Linked DNA regions of Tamandua tetradactyla. The main gene of each other region encodes a partner of the protein of the gene in region 2 in a complex. Links are inferred from orthologs where the notes say so. Each region holds a gene or a part of one and is shown on either strand. Other genes may lie near its edges.

Region 1 (8,495 bases), about 150 Mb from region 2:
ACTTTGAGTGAGAATTTTCCACCATAAAAATATGACTCTGAAAGTTGTGTGGAAAAGGAGAGTCCTACCTCCTTGCACTGTGTTGAAACATACAAGCTTTTCCCTTTGAATGTTTTCTGAACCCAAAACAAAAGTTTGGAATCTTGGAACTTCACCTATAACTCCTGCTCTCTGGCTCCTTTACAGACTTTTGGAGTCCTTCACAAGGTTTGATGGCCTTGCCTGCAATCTGGAGAAACTCCTCAGAACCTGTTTCAAGCACCCTACCTGTCTCAGAGGACACCCAATCCCTACCCCAGCCCATGAGTGAGGTGGATGAGCCTCCAGGGATAGAAGGCGGCAGGCAGGCACCTCCCTACTCTGTTACCCAGGTACAGAGGAGAATGGAGGAAACTTAGGGGTGTCCATGGCATCACTGAAAGTCAACCAGTTCACACTGACCTGCCTCCACCTGCCTCCCCTTCTCAGAGAGGCAAGTATCTGCCATGGTCAGTGTCATCAAGGCCTTTAAAACCCTGGGAACAGAGAGCTAGCTGCCTTTCTTTGCTACCCATTTCCTACATTTGTAGTTTGTTCTTGATTTCCTAGGGAATGGGACAAATGGAGAAAGACAAACCCAGCATGGGCAACATCTAAGCCGTGTCCAAGGTTAGCCAAAGTAAAGTGAGCACTGGCCTCCCAGCTGGGCAGGCAGTTGAACATGGTTCCAAGACTTTAGCTCTGGACCCTGGTCTATATATTTTTGTTGTTGTTGTTGTTTAAAGTTTTATAATTGTTTTAAGAAATCCAGTCTTTTCAGACTTGCCCTTTTATTACACTTTGAATTTTCTTTATTGATTTTTTTAAAAGGAAAAATACAAAAAAAAAAAACACTACTCTTACTCCCCCCCACAAGATTCTCCCCACAAGAGTCTCCCCGCACTCCCTTCTGCCTTTGCAGTTTATCGTTCCTCCCTTTTTTTCTCTGCTTGAAGCATCTATGTCCAGTGTGTGATATGATGTTTTATCTGTGTCTCAGGATGAGAAACGGCAATCATTCCACCAGATGCTAGAAACTGGTTAGCCTTGAAGCAAGGGTTTCTAGGGCCACAGCTCAGGGATGTGTATTTAATTACAGGGTCCCCAGAAATCCCCTCTCGGCTGCCACAGGCAACAGCTTCTTTTCTGGGCTTGGGAGCCAGACCTGGTTTTCTTCAGAGGCAGGAGCCCCCTCCTCTGGCCAGAGAGCCTGCTGGGACTTCCTGTCTGGCCAGACCTGGGGACTTGGAGACTTTAAGACTTCTAGCTATCCCACAACAAGAGCCATGGTAGCCCTGCCTCTACCAGCTCATAAGAAGCCTGGTTCCTCTAATCAGTCCACTTTCCACCTGGCCTCCCTTTTCAAGCCTGCAGCCTAAATGGGCCATGGCCTGCTCAGGAACCCACCGTGGGCCTAAAAGGGAAGCTGTGACTCAGGCCAGAGCCTGCTGCAAGCCCAAGAAAAAAGTTGAATTAATGGTGGAGGCTAGTCTTCCAAATCCTGGAGCCAGTCCTACCAACCAAAGGATCATCTTTGTCTTTTGGTGACTATTGTTTTCTTACTCTGAAATGTCTTGTATTAGGTGATAATGTTGAACTCAAATTTCCATGAAAAAAAACTACCTCTTGAGTAACATCCTGGTCGATTCTTCTCTGAAGAATTCTGTGGGAAAAGAACACTGTAACTCCTGTTCTGTTTACATGTTTCTGTCGGGAAAGAAAGCCTGCCTGCCCTGGGGTGCTGGTGTTTTTGTCTGTGTTGCCATCCCAGGTCTGCGATAGGGCCTTGTGGCTGCATTGTAATGTCTGGGCCATGTCTGGGGAGTCCTTCCCACCTGCCAACCAGGGACTAGCCACTCCCTTGAAAAGGCCTCCATTTTCTTCCTGTGTTCCATGGCATAGGGAACACCACCTCCCACAAACTCCATCCTTGGGGGATCTGGTGGCACATGCATCCACGAGCCTGCCCCTGGGCTTCTCCAGGCTTGCCTCTACCCACAGTCCTGTGTAGGAATCGAGTAAATGGGATGTCTCTGAGCCCTTGTCCCCAAAGGGCTGGCCAAGGGCTGCCCCAGCCTGGCTCCATCAACCATGCATAACTAAATGATAGTTGGTGGGCTCTGTGGGCTACCCAGGCCCTCTGCTACCTCCCACCCTGCCAGCTGGCAAGGGATGGGCCCTGTTCTGTGAATTGACTACCTGTGGAAATGTGACCAATTAGTATAAATGCATGTTTAGAAGTGTTAGGTACTGTATTTGAACCAATAAATGTGAATCCTTCTACACATGGCATCTGTCTTATCTAAGGTTCTGGGGAGGGATGATGGGGTATCCCAAGCAATTAGCTCATACCTTCAGACCTACGGCTCCTCTTAGAGATGAAACCTACCACAATCCTTATTGCTGAGGGTTTGGCAGAAGGGATGCCTCTCTAAGAACTTCTTAAATCAATGAACTAGCACTGACTGTGTACCAGGCCCAGTGCTAGAATTTTTCACAGATCTGAACCTCTTTGAATCTCTAGAATTACTAACTATTCTATAAGTGAAGAAATGAGGTCAAGAGGTGGAGGGACTCTCCCATGGTAACCCAGCCAGAAAGTGGCACAGCTAGAGGAACTGAGTCTACTGGGAGAGGCAAACCCAGACCTATGCAGTACAGTGGAATCGGGGTTGCAGTTAGGGATGTATGTGGGTTGTAGGACCTGGAGGAGAGAGTGCATTGTTCTACTCAGGATAGTCAAGAAGGGTTTCACAGATGAATATTATTGAAGGTGAGCCTAGAAGAAAGTAACCAGACAAAAAGGGAAAGGTAAGGCAGGTAAAGGAACCAACAATATATGCAAAGGTCCAGTTGTAAGTAAAAAATATATGGAGTATTCAGGGTAGTTCAGTGGTAGAATGCTCGCCTTCCATGCGGGAGACCCTGGTTCAATTCCCTGGCCATGCACCCCCAGCCCCCAAGAATATATACATATATGGAGCAATCAGATATAGCAAGGGACTGCAGCAGCAAGAGTGGTAACAGAATGTGGGGATTAGTGCGTATCAAGCAAATTGAAGCTTCAAATGCCACATTCAGGGGTTTAGGGAAAAAACCATCTGCTAAGTCTCAGGAAAGAGCTGCACACATCAGTGACAGCAGTCCAGCAGATTAATAGTTATCTTTCTACAAAAAGGATGGCGTTTATTAATACTTTTTCTATGGCTGAAATCATAAAGGCTCTGAGAGGTTAAGGGACTTGCCCAAAGTCACACAGAAAGTGGCACAGTTAGGACTTGAACCCAGATCTTCCCAACATTCCTGTAACCCTGCTGCTCATGTGATCAGACAAGGGGCAGACTAGGGATGAGAATTGTGTGAAGACAGATGGGAAAGATGAAGGCTTCTCAGTCTGGGAAGATAAGTATGAAGAGAGTATGATCAAAGTGTATTAAACCATGTGGAATGAGGGGAAGCCCAGCTGCCTTCCCAAACCTCAGCCTCTAGCACAAAGGAGTCAGAGAGCCCTTGAGGTTTGAAAGCGATAGTTTTAAGACAAAGAAAACACTGCAGAATTATTAATAGACTCTTCCTTGCCCCACAAAAAGTAAACATAAGACACAGAGGTACAAGGAGAGGGGGGAACACATTTGCTGAGTGCCTATAAAGTACCAGGCACCATGGTTAGTGCTTTATGTGCATTATCTCATGTAATCCTCATAACCTTGCAAGGGTTAGGTCTTAGCCCCATTTTATTCATAAACAAATTGAGGCTTGAGGAAGTTAAGCCATTTGCCAAAAATGACACATGACTAAATGGCAGAATTGACTTTTGAATCCAGGTCTATCTGATAGCAAAGTTACAACAAGGCAGCCTCCCTGCTCAGCCTTAGCAATTCAGTAGTGCTGAATATGGACGTCTGGAGTTTGTAACAAAGCTCAGTAATGGCCTTTGGTTGAACTTTTTGCTATTAAGCAAAACTCTATTAAACTAACGAAAGATTAATTTCTGTAAGGGGTAGATGCACAGACCCAACCAAATTGAGCTGAAAAGCAGTGCTGTCCCAAATATATGACTTCTCAGAACATACACCAAAAGGTGGCTCCATGGAAAAATAAGTAGGAGTTCTATTGGCAAAATTTGGGGAAATACTTCACTTGCTCTTCTTTTTTTTGACCATTTTTTAAACTTTTTATTGAAGTATAATACCCACAAGGAAAAGTAAACAAACCATGAGTGTTCAGCTCAACTTTATCTTCTGCTCATTGACTCTCAACTTTCATTGGTACATAGTAAGGGCTCTGAGAGGTCCTAACTGAAAAAAACTGATTTTGTTTAACCCAAGGTCTACCAAAAACATTTTTTGAGCATGAAACATTTTTCCCCTAGCATAGCTGTGAAAATTCTATTGGGACAATATTCCATGGAATCTTAATGTATAAATTTCTACTTAACTAACACTGAGTTTTTGGTTCCCTCAAGTGCCAGGCAATAATCTAGAAGAAATGAATAATAAAGTAATTAATACAGAGTGAGCTAAGCAAAGCAATGGGCTGAGCATTTCAAGTGCATTAGATTACTGATTTTTTAAGGTAAGCCAATGAAGTTGGTGCTATAATGATCCCATTTTGCAGATGAGAAAACTGAGGCGCACAAAGGTTAAGCAACTTGCCTAAGGCTACATAGCTAGTGTGACCTCAGGAATGAGTATAAATTGGCACTGATCACCTACTATTTGGCAGGATATGTGCAAAGATCTTTATCCTTGTGCAATCCCTGTGAGGCAAATTAAGATCATCTCTGTAAATGAAGAAGCAGCAGGGTGTGCTGGCAGCTCTGGGTTATGCCAGAGATTGAACAAAAAAAAAAAAAAGAAAACCAGAAGTGATGGCAGGGGAGAGTGTTGGAATGAGGTTGGGGGTTGGGTGTGGTTCTATGGAGCCCTCTCCCAGGGATCACTTCCCTCGGACAACTCATGTGACAGCAGGCACATCTATCAGGGGTCTTACCACCTGAGTTCTAATCCCAGCTTTTCCCCCATACTAGTTACACATGACCTGGATCCAGTGGATACTTCTCTGAGCCACTTTCCCTATTAGATAAATAGAGAGGCCAGTACCTATGTCTCAGGGGTTTAAGGAGGATTGGCCATGGCTGGCTCAAAGTAGGAGCTTAATGAAGTCAATTCATAAGAGGAAGCTGTGTGAGGGGAGCTGCAGCCCCTCACCCCAAAAGCAGAAATCCAGCAGAGTTTGACCTGCCGTTAGCCTGGTTGCCTATTAGGGTTCTAGGTCCACAGTGTTGGTAATCAGCCTCTCTGGGCTGTGGCTAAAGTGCCCAACTGCCAGACCCAGGGCTCTTGGAGTTTTGTTCCCTTGGCAACAAGTCTCACCATGGAGACCAAAGTCCCATCCTTGCCCTCCCTGGAAACTCCCTCTCCACAGACCTCCCCTGCTCAACACCTAGTCCTAGGAACAGTGTAGGTACTGAGGAAAGCTACAAGGACCCTTCCTCAGGGTGAGGAGTTTGAGGTACAATCTAGCAAAAGAGGCAAAGGGAACTCCCAATTTCTGAATGTCTACTTTATGCCTGGCAAGGGTCTGAGGAGCCTATATAGGTGGTCTTATTTAGGTTGGAAGCCAAGCCCTCATCCTATCTTACATAAATGGAAACTGAGGCTCAGGAAGGCAGCATGGACCATCTCAGTTACACAGCTGATCATTATTGGAGCTGAGATTTTAATCTAAGGCTTCTAACTCCATGAACTGCTTTCCCTACAATGCCCCCTCTCCCACCCGTACTGCCAACACACAGCCTTCAGCCTCAATCTGGGGAAGAACTGCATAGTTGGGTGCGTCCCCCTCCATCCCAGGCCACGGTTGGCAGTATAAGCAGCAGCCAGCAGCCAGCAGCCCTTTGAGAGCTGGGCCGGGCCCAGCAGCAACAGCGGAGGAACTGCACTATTTTAAGCCAGGGCCAGAGGGCCCCATGTGGGTACAGGGAGGGTGGCCTCGGGCCCTTGGCTAGCTTCCCGGAAGTCACTGTGGCCTCCCTCCTCTCCCCTGAGCAGCTTTCTGAGGCAGTCACTTCCCTACAAACAGGAAGGAGGCCCTCAGGCCTGGAGACCTCCAGTTCCAGCTTCTTCCTCCTACCCCTCAGTCTTCTCCTCAATACCAGGGAGCCCACCAGCTCCAGGCTCTGATCAATGTCCGGTATCTGGACTGACTCTTAGCAGGTGGGTGGGAAGGGGGCCTGCACTGCTAGGGCTGCCTAGGGCACCAATTACAAGTTAAGACCTCCATTTGCCCAGGCCCTCCCCCATGCCCACCCCAAGACTGATTTCTCATATGTTCCCACTGAGGCTAGCTACTATGAGCCAAAAAGAAGAGCAGTGATACCCCCGGATTTAATCCCCCTTAAGGGCCCCAGAGAGAGACAGAGCAAAGAGAGACAGACTGGGAGACTGAAACAAGCTGAAAGAAATAGACATTCCAAAAGATAGATTGGGGCAAAACAATGACAGACATAGATTCATGGGGTCAGATAAAACTGGAGAGATGCTCAGAGATAAAAAGGAAAGAAAGACAAGACCCCAGAGATGGCTGCAGAGGGCTGGGACCTGGGGTGGGGGGTGGGGCTCTGAATGACGGCTCCTGCACACCCCCCAAGCACAGGCTCTGTCTCATGTCTGTGGGGGGCCCACCGGCTGCGTGGTTGAAGAGGAATGTGGGGAGCAAGGCTGGGTCACCCCTTGAGGGCCAAGCGTGTGCACGGTGAGATAAGCTACCCTAGGAAGGGAGCCCCAGCTGTGGCTGCACACTCCGGGAGCATGGCGGAGAGTCCCAATCCCAAGGCTGCAGCCCCAGCACTGCCTGACATGCAGCTCCTGCAGTTCTTGCTGAGGATCTCCACCAGGCCTCTTATTCCAGGGGGTCCCGGGTCCCTTGGCCCAGCCCTCAGAAGCATGCAGATTGTGAGAGTATCATGTTCACAGAGGAGGAGGGTGGCCACTGGAAACCCTGCCAGCTGCAAAGAGCTCTAACTGCAACCCTGGTTCAGGTGAGAGGGCCATAGAGCTGATCATGCAGAACAGAGGCTCCAGCAGGCTGTGGGGTGCAGAGGGGGTGCAGTGATGGAGCACTATCTGTGAGTTGTCCCCGCCTGGCTTTGTGCACTCATATGCACTCGTGTGTGTCTTGGGCATGTGTCCATGTGCTTCCTCTCATGTGGGGCTGTACAAAGATGTATGTGTCCATTTGTTGCCAGGAGTTCCACTCTGCCTCCCCCAAGTCTCTACTCTCTGTCTGGAGAAGTGGCTCCCAGAGGCACCTGGTCTTCCCCACCCCCACCAGGTGGTCCAGCCAGAGAGCCAAAAGGTGGAGGGGGAAGACTGAGCAGGTCCATTGCAGGCCCCTGGCCCCCCTCCCCACACTGCAGCTGAGGCTCCCGCGGCCACGGCCTTGACCCGGCACTATGGACTTCTCTGACATTGGCATCGGATCTGAACATCTGGCAGCAGGCTGATAAGGGGTACAGCGGAAACAGCCTCTGCTGCTGCCAGCAGGCCCACCCCCTCCTCTGCCCGGCACAGGGTCTCCACACTCCCTCTGCTTCCAGCTCTCTGGACCCCTACCCCTTTCTCTTTTTTCATTTTCTGCCTCAGTGTCTCTCTCTCTCTCGCTCTCTCTCTCTCCTTCTCTTTCCCAGGCTCTGAACATCTCTGGGTCTCTTTTGCTGTCAGTGCAGTTTCCTTTTCTCATTTTCTGGCTTCTTTCTTTTTCAGTCTATCTCCTTTCTACACTGTACCTCAACCCATTTCTCCCCTCTCTTTCAGTTTCTTGGTCTCAGGTTTGTTTGTTCCTTGTTCTACCTCCAGGAAATAGGCCTGGCACGTTGGGAAAGTCCCCACTTAGGAAAGAGACCCTGGGCTTTGTTTTCCTGGGGAGGGAGGCAGGCGGGAAGCCTCGGTCAGGACTACATCCCTTTTCCTCCTCCTCCCGGGGGTCTTGTGGCCCGGGACCACCTGGGCTGGAGCTTGAAAGAGAGGGCAAATAGGCCACCCAGGGGCTCTTAGAGAGCCAGGAGCACTCAGAGTCTGCAAGTCTAGGCTCTGGACTCCACTGTGTGGATTTGAATCCTGTTCCCACCACTCCCCTGCTTTGTGACTCTGGGTCGCAGCCTCATCTCTCTGGGGCCAAGTTGCCTCATCTCTCAAATGTTACTTTGGGAGGTGAAGGGAAAACTACTTACCTCCTAGGATGATGGAGAGGGCTCAAGATTGACCACAGGTGTAGAGTGGTTAGTAGCAGCCCTGGCCCATAGGAGGCAATTTTGTATTAGGGCCTTGCCATTCCCTGCATCTGGCAACCCCTGGCTCCTCTTGTTCCCACAGAACAGCCAGTATGGATGAGGGCAGGGGAGGGGCAGCACAGAACAAGAGGAGGTTCACCCAACTTATCCAGTGTTGATTGGAAATTTGGGGAGTGGGTGAGGA
Region 2 (7,485 bases):
TTTATAAATCCCTTTTGCAAAAGCCAATCCATTTTTGGTATAATGCATTCTGGCAGCATTTTAGCAAATTGAAAACTATGTATTTATTTCTTTATTTTGGTGTGTACTGATGGCCTCCTATTTTACTCAGTGGGTTACAATCTGCAACTATCATTATTTATTTTGATGCTCAGATTGTCCCAGATTAGGCCAATGGGAATTCCTTCCAGTTGGAGTCTATGTCCTTTTGCCATGTCCCCATCATTCTTTGAACACCTCTTTGTTTTCTGGTGTAAAAAGTATTTACTTCTCCAGCCCCAGCCTTGGAATCAATCAGTACTCCAAGAAGCTCTGAAGGTCCCTAGTTCTGTTGCTGTGAACATGAGCCAATGGTATATGAAGCTCATCTATTGCAGATTACATCTGCAGTTGGCTAGGAGGTGTGCCTGCTGCAATGTATGATGTTTGAATTAATTGGCTGGAAGCTTAAATGTGAGAGCTCAATGCAGCTCTCTGCCCAAGTAGCTCAGAATACTTCATCTCAGCACTTCTCAGCTCAGTCCAGGCCTTTGGAGATGCAGAAAGGAATCACCCCGGGGAAAGTTGTTGGGACCCAGAGGCCTGGAGAGAAGGCCAGCAGAGATCGCCCTGTACCTTCTCGCAAAGAAAGAACCTCAGTTGAAAGTTATCTGCCTTTCCTCTGAAGAACTATATGTTTTTAACTAAGTAAATCCTCTTTTATTAAAAGCCAATCCATCTCTGGTGTGCTGCATTCTGGTAGCTTTGGCAGACTAAAACAGATTTGATACCAGGAGTGGGGTGCTGCTGCAGTTTGCAAATACCAGACATGCTGGAACAGTTTTTTGGATGGATAAGGGGAAGATTTGGGAGGAACTGTGAAGAGAATGATGGAGAAGTCCTGGAGTGCTTGAAGAGACTGTTGGTGTAAGTGGAACCACTGCCAATCTGAACAAAGTGGGACACAAAAAGAACAAATTGGAGTTTGCAGAGTGAGAACCATGGAAGCTTAGGTCTGAAGCCAAGAAATCTCAGGCCAGGAGAGTGAACCCACCTATATACATGGAGAGAGTGAATTTTCCCTGAAGGCAGAGGATGAGTCTCCCACCTCATTGCAGTGGAAGAGTTGTGTCACCTCAGGCTTTGGAGAAGGTACTCCTTGGGAATTGGGGAGAGCCTGGCTACCATCAAATGGAGGGGTTGAGCGTGTGCCCCAGAAATGGCAGAGCCCAGGTGTGGCCCCGATGCTTGGAGCCAAGAAAAAGGTGGTCTCCTCAATGTCCCCTGAGGTTGATTCAGAAAGAGGTGGGCCACCACATAGGCCCTTGGAAAGGGTGGGATTGCCACTTTGTAAAGCCAAAGGATATATGACTTTCAGACTTTGAAATCCAATGGAATTTGCCCTGCAAGTTTTCAGAACTGTTTGAGTCTTGTGACTCCTGTGTTCCCTCCAATTTTTCCTTATAGAAATGAAAACATGTATCCTGTGACTGTCCTTCCTTTGCATATTGGCATCAGATAACTTGTTTTGAGATTCATAGGTCCACAGCCAGAAGAGATTTTTTGCCACTTTAATATCGTTTAAAGTGATATGTATAGTTGCCAAGTTGACAAGGGGTAGACATGTGGTAGTTAGGTTCAAGTGTAAACTTGGCCAGGTGTAGGTGCCTAGTTCTGTTGCTGTGGACATGAGCCAATGGCATATGAAGCTCATCTATTGCTGATTACATATGCAGTCAGCTAGGAGGCATGTCTGCTGCAATGAATGATGTTTGATTTAATTGTCTGGATGCTTAAATGTGAGAGCTCAGTGTAGTACAGCCAAGCAGCTCAGCATGCTTCATCTCAGCACTCACAGCTCAGTCCTGTCCTTTGGAAATGCAGAAAGAAATCACCCCGGGGAAAGTTGCTGGGACCCAGAGGCCTGGAGCGAAGGCCAGCAGAGATCACCCTGTGCCTTTTCACATAAGAAAGAACCTCAGTTGAAAGTTAGCTCCTTTCCTCTGAAGAACTATACATTTTTAACTAGATAAATCCTCTTTTATTAAAAGCCAATCCATCTCTGATGTATTGCATTCTGGCAGCTTTGGCAGACTAAAACATATGGGGTTATGTAGGAGAATGTCCTTGTTTGTAGGAATTATACACTAAAGTATTCAGGGGTTATAGGGCAAAAAAAAAAAAAATAGCAAAGTATTCTCAAACGGTGAAGGAAATAAAAAAGCTTCCTTCTACTGTACTTAGGACTTTTCTGAAAGTTTGTGAATGCTCCAAAATTAAAATTAAAATATCATTGACATATGAAGAGCTAAGCAAAGATTATGCAGCTACAAAGTGTAGGCAAATTGATCAGGCAATTGATGAATAAAAATATTTTATTGTTCTCCTAGTTTAGGGATGTTTGTGCCTTCTGTCAGTTTAATTTGTAGTGATTTATCTTCTCTTTGTTAATATTCACCTTCACACCTGATTTTCAATTCTTTTCTTACAGAAGGCCCTCCAAACTGTGTAAGTTTCTAGCCCCACAAAACCAATATCCTCTCTTGAATGTTCTGCCACACTTTAAAAATGAGAAAATAGTGATGCACAGGTGGTTAAATGGTAGAATGCTTCCCTACCATGTGGGGGACCCAGCTTCGATTCCAGGCCCATGCTCCCCTACCCCCAACAAATGAGGAAACTGAGGACAAGGAGAGAAGTGAAGTGGCTTGCCCAAGGTCACTCATTAGGAAGTGATGAAGCCAGGATTTGAACCCAGGCAGTCTGACTCTAGAGTCTCCGTCAGTGGGATGGTGTGAGGATCCAGTGAGGTAGGAGGACATAGAAAGAACTTAACAAATGAAAGGAATTAAGATTATTCACAAGCAAATGAAAGATATTTGCCTGTTTGTGTGCTGGTGCTTAGTTCCTTAGGGAGAGGAAAAGAGCAAAGTCCCCAAATGAATGCCCAAACTGCTTAGAACTTGACATCTAGAACCTCACTTGGTCCTCACAACAGCTCTGCAGACAGATATTATTGTCCCCAAAGAAACTCCTGAGGTCCACAGAGGTCTGAGGATCAGTTCAAGGACATAGCTAGTATGTGATGGACCCAGGAGCAGATGCCAGGGCTGGATGATGCCAGAGCCTATCACTCTCTGTCCAGGGCACCACACTGCCTGGCACTGTGGTAGCAGAAGTTTGCCAGGCTGGACATGCCAAAGTCCAGGGATGTGACACAGTCAAGGAGACTCATGCTCCTTCTCATACCATATGTCTTACCATCTGAGGACAGAGGACCCAGGGGATGGGCAGAGCAATATTTCCCTCCAGATCACAAGTGGGCATCACCTATAGACCAGGAAGCAGCTAGGTGGGGGCCCAGGTAGCCACCAGCTCTGAGAAAGTCAGGTAGCATAGCTCTGGCTGCATGTTGGGTCAGCGAGTACAGAGGGACAGCAAGGACTTCGGAATCAGGTAGATCCAGGCTCTGACCCTTCCCAGTTGCATGACCTTGGGCAAGTTGCTTCACCAATTTGAGTCTCACAAAGTAAGACCTTTGCCTCATAGGGAAGCTGTGAATATTTACATGGGAAGTGCCTGGCACGTAGCAGATCCTTGATAAAGAGCAGCCATATTTCATTATCGATCCATGAGGACTTCGTGGCAGACATGTCCTTTTAGGAGTTATAGGAATCTAGGCTGGGGAGAAAGTGTTCTGAAGGACCTCATTTCTGCAGGGCACCCAGAACTGGAGTCAGAGAAAGGGGACCCCTTGATTGCATAGTGGGCATAATCTTCCCAGCCCCCAGGGTCCTGGCTCTCTTCCTGGCTCTCCTCCTGACAGCAGGAACACGTTCCCAAGGCTAGGCAAACAAACCAGTGATAAGGCACTTCCTGGTTGGGCCTTGCATTCAAGGCTTCTCCAGCTCTGCTGGGACTGGCTTCCCGGCTTAGGAAGAGTGCTGGGTTTTTTTTTGTTTGTTTTTTGAGTATACAACAGGCTTCTCCACTTTTGGGGCTGGCTTCTCAGTTTAGCAAAAGCCCTGGTTTTCTGTGCCTAAAAGAGCAGGCACCAGTTGGGATACCTGTCATGGCCACCTGCTGATTGTGCACCTGAGACCTTGGTGTCCTGGTACAGCCTGGGTTAATGACCCTTTATATTCTCTTGAGTCATCCGATAAGGGGCAACGGGCCAGCGGGCAGGCAGCCTGTGCCCTGCAGTGGCCCCTACATTGACTGAAGCCATATCAGCGCCACGTGGAGCTTCTACTGCCCTCCTCCCCCACCATTCCCCGCCAGTCCTGCCAGGGTCAGTATGTTTTTTTTTTCTCAATGAACATGACTTCTGGAGTCAAGGCTATTGGGGCCGTTCCTTCCCACCCCCCACCCTGAGGGATATAAATAGCACCCACAGTACAGAGCAGAGGGCAAAAGAGCCAGGAGAAAGAAGGAGCAGATTCTGAAACATGAATTCCAGCCAGCCAGGGGCTTGCCCATGTCGAGGTGCTGCAGGCCGCCCAGCCATCCTGTATGCACTTCTGAGCCCAAGCCCTGGGGCCAGGCCCTCAGTCCCAGCATCCCGTAGCCACTGCCTGTGCAGGCAGCACCGACCCGTCCGCCTGTGTGCTCCCCATCGCACCTGCCAGGAGGCCTTGGACGTTCTGGCCAAGACAGTGGCCTTCCTCAAGAACCTGCCATCCTTCTACCAGCTGCCCGTCCAGGATCAGCAGCGCCTGCTGCGGGGCTCCTGGGGCCCCCTCTTCTTGCTTGGGTTGGCCCAAGACACTGTGACCTTCCAGGTGGCCGAGGCCCCAATGCCCAGCATACTCAAGAAGATCCTGCTGGAGGAGCCTGGCAGCAGTCGTGGCAGTGTTCAGCTGCCCGACAGGCCCCAGCCCTCCCTGGCTGCAGTGCAGTGGCTTCAGTACTGCTTAGAGTCCTTTTGGAGCCTGGAGCTGGGCCCCAAGGAGTATGCCTACCTGAAAGGGACAGTCCTCTTCAACCCTGGTGAGCTCCCAGACACTCCGGGATGGGGGCCAAAGTGGAGGGAGGACTCATCCAGGGAGGGTACCTTTGAAGGGCTTGACATCCATCACCTCTTTGGTTCCCCATTATCGTTAAATATTCATCACACAGAAAAAACTCAGAGAGAAGTGGGAGGGGAAGATGAGAAGAGAAAGGGGAAGACTGTGTGGTGAGGTTCTGAAGGTAGAACTCCATAGGTCTGGAAAGACCACACAGACAGGAAGAACGAAGGGGGTGTAAAAGAGAAAAGGGAGGGAGTCTTAGTGAAATGCACCTAGGAGAGCAGCAGATGGAGACCATGTTCTCTATAATCTGGAGAGCATCTAAGATAAGACTATTCCACCAAATGGCCCCTGTGGAATGCTTAAATTATAGCAATTGATTATAATAATACTTATTATTATAACTGAAATAATTATAATAGTGAACACATATTATACTTACTGTATGCTAGACCTTATTTCTAAGGGTTTTACATATACTAAATATCATTTAAACATCATAACAAGCTTAAGAGTAGGTATTATTATTAGCCCCATTTTATAGATGAGGAAACTGAGGCACAGAGATTAAGTAACTTGTCCACAGTCGTGCACTAAATAAGGGATGGCACTGGGATTGAAACCCAGGTAGTCCGGCTCTTAACCATTACTCTATGCTGCCTCTCCATAAATGGATGATGAATAAAAAGATAAATGAATAAATGAATGAAGTAGGAATGGGGCCTTAAAAGCTGAGCAAAGAAGCAGGGCAGTGCCTGCTGGCAGCCTCAGGTCTCGTCCCTTGGTGGCTAGGAGTGGGGTGCTAACCAGCCTTCTCACCCTCTCTGCCTACAGATGTGCCTGGCCTCCACGCCTCCTCCCACATTGGGTACCTGCAGCAGGAGGCTCATCAGGCACTATGTGAGGTCCTGGAGCCCCAGTGCCCAATAGGCCAAATCCGCTTGGCCCGTGTCCTCCTCATGGCCTCTATCCTCAAGTCATTTCCACCCAGCCTGCTCAGAGACCTCTTCTTTCGCCCGGTGATTGGAGACACTGACATCACCAGCCTCCTCGAGGATGTGCTTTTGCTGAGGTGATCTGCCCCGGCCCTAGCAGAGATCCAGTGTAGATTGTGCAGAGGTTGGCAATGTTAATTCAATCTGGCTTGGCCTGCCTGTCCCCAGGAGTGACCTGATGCTCCTGGAAGGACTAAGCCTGTATAGCCAGCACTCAGCCCTCTAGGATCAAGCTGAGCCTGGCTCAGCCAGATGGCCTGTGGAGCCCCTCACTCCAGCCAGGCCCTATCTTGGACTTCCCTCATTTGGACACAGTGCTTCAGCCAACTGGCCAGCTCTTGGTGATCCCCAGAGTCTCTGGACCAAGACTCCTGTCTCCTCCTGGGATATGGAGGGCTTAGGTTGCTCATAGGCCAGAAGTCCTACTTACTTTGTACAGAACTGACTTAAATTATTACTTTTTGTAATAAAAGGTGTGACACTTTGGAGCCAGACATTGTGGTTTGTACATAGGTAAAGAACCACCTCACCTCCAGGGCCCTTCCTGCCCCTATGAGTAGGAGCCCAAGGGAAAGAACCCATAATGGGTGTAGGAGCTGGGTCTCAGGGAATCAGGGTATTAATTTCTCAGAGTGAGATGATGATTTCATTTCTGAGGATGAGATGCATTTTGCCTCTGCTTGTGAACCCAAGGGATAGCATCAGTTCCCAAGCCCCTTACATATCTGCCTTTATCCTTGGTGGGGGAGTGGGGCGGGGGGAGGATTCTCCCTTATCTCCAACCCCTACCGACTCTTCCCTGGTCCCATCCCCTACAGGCTTCCATTCACCTCAGTGAGTCTGATCATGGTCAGTCAGGAAAATGAAGCAGCCCATTCCCAAATTGAAACAGAGACGCTCACTGGAATTTCTGCAAGTTTGGGACAATTCATTCCCCTACCCGACCCCCATTCCCCGTAGTCCATAGAAGAATGTGCCATTTTTCTCCTAGTTGTGGGGAGTGTGTGTGGGGGGAAAGTCTCCCTGGGCTGCCTAGAAGCTGCTTAGAGGCCAAGGCAGGCTGAAGTTTAGCTGGCCCACAGTGTTACAGCTACACAAGTTGTTAAGAATCTGAGATGCCTCCATGAAGTTTAGCTGGCCCACAGTGTTACAGCTGCACAAGTTGTTAAGAATCTGAGATGCCTCCATGAAGTTTAGCTGGCCCACAGTGTTACAGCTACACAAGTTAAGAATCTGAGATGCCTCCATGACAGGCAGTTAACAGCTCCCTCCCTGGGTCCCCTTCTACTGCCCTTCTGCCCCAGCCTCTGTCCCAGGATCCTCTTCCCAGACATTCCCATCATCCAGCTAGAGGTAAAAACTTGACATGACCATGGCCTCCAGGACTGCTCCATTCAGTGCCACAGCTTGTGTCTTCTCTGGTTGGGTGATGCCTGTGGCTCACTGTTTGTTAATCAGATTGAATATCACCTCTGGGTCAGGGT

Evidence for each region. The genes of interacting proteins can lie anywhere in the genome.
Region 1: the proteins of NR0B2 (region 2) and NR5A1 are in contact, whole or in part, in a crystal structure (PDB 1YMT), measured with the Mus musculus proteins. The link is inferred for Tamandua tetradactyla from reciprocal best matches to the Homo sapiens genes NR0B2 and NR5A1. Residues at the interface, in NP_035980.1 of Mus musculus: Thr19, Ile20, Leu21, Tyr22, Leu24, Leu25, Ser26; in NP_001303616.1 of Mus musculus: Ile275, Val278, Arg282, Phe287, Val292, Gln295, Met296, Leu299, Gln300, Asn450, Leu452, Glu455, Met456.

The regions. Positions count from the first base shown.
Region 1 is NC_135328.1:46,602,726-46,611,220, reverse strand, and holds the start of NR5A1 (steroidogenic factor 1), read left to right. Parts: upstream 1-5,357; 5' UTR 5,358-5,480; exon of another isoform or gene 5,481-5,532; intron 5,533-6,930; exon of another isoform or gene 6,931-7,060; intron 7,061-8,495. UniProt on the Homo sapiens protein: Transcriptional activator. Essential for sexual differentiation and formation of the primary steroidogenic tissues. Binds to the Ad4 site found in the promoter region of steroidogenic P450 genes such as CYP11A, CYP11B and CYP21B.
Region 2 is NC_135328.1:199,327,145-199,334,629, forward strand, and holds NR0B2 (nuclear receptor subfamily 0 group B member 2), read left to right. Parts: upstream 1-4,416; 5' UTR 4,417-4,445; coding exon 4,446-4,986; intron 4,987-5,840; coding exon 5,841-6,082; 3' UTR 6,083-6,593; downstream 6,594-7,485. UniProt on the Homo sapiens protein: Transcriptional regulator that acts as a negative regulator of receptor-dependent signaling pathways. Specifically inhibits transactivation of the nuclear receptor with which it interacts.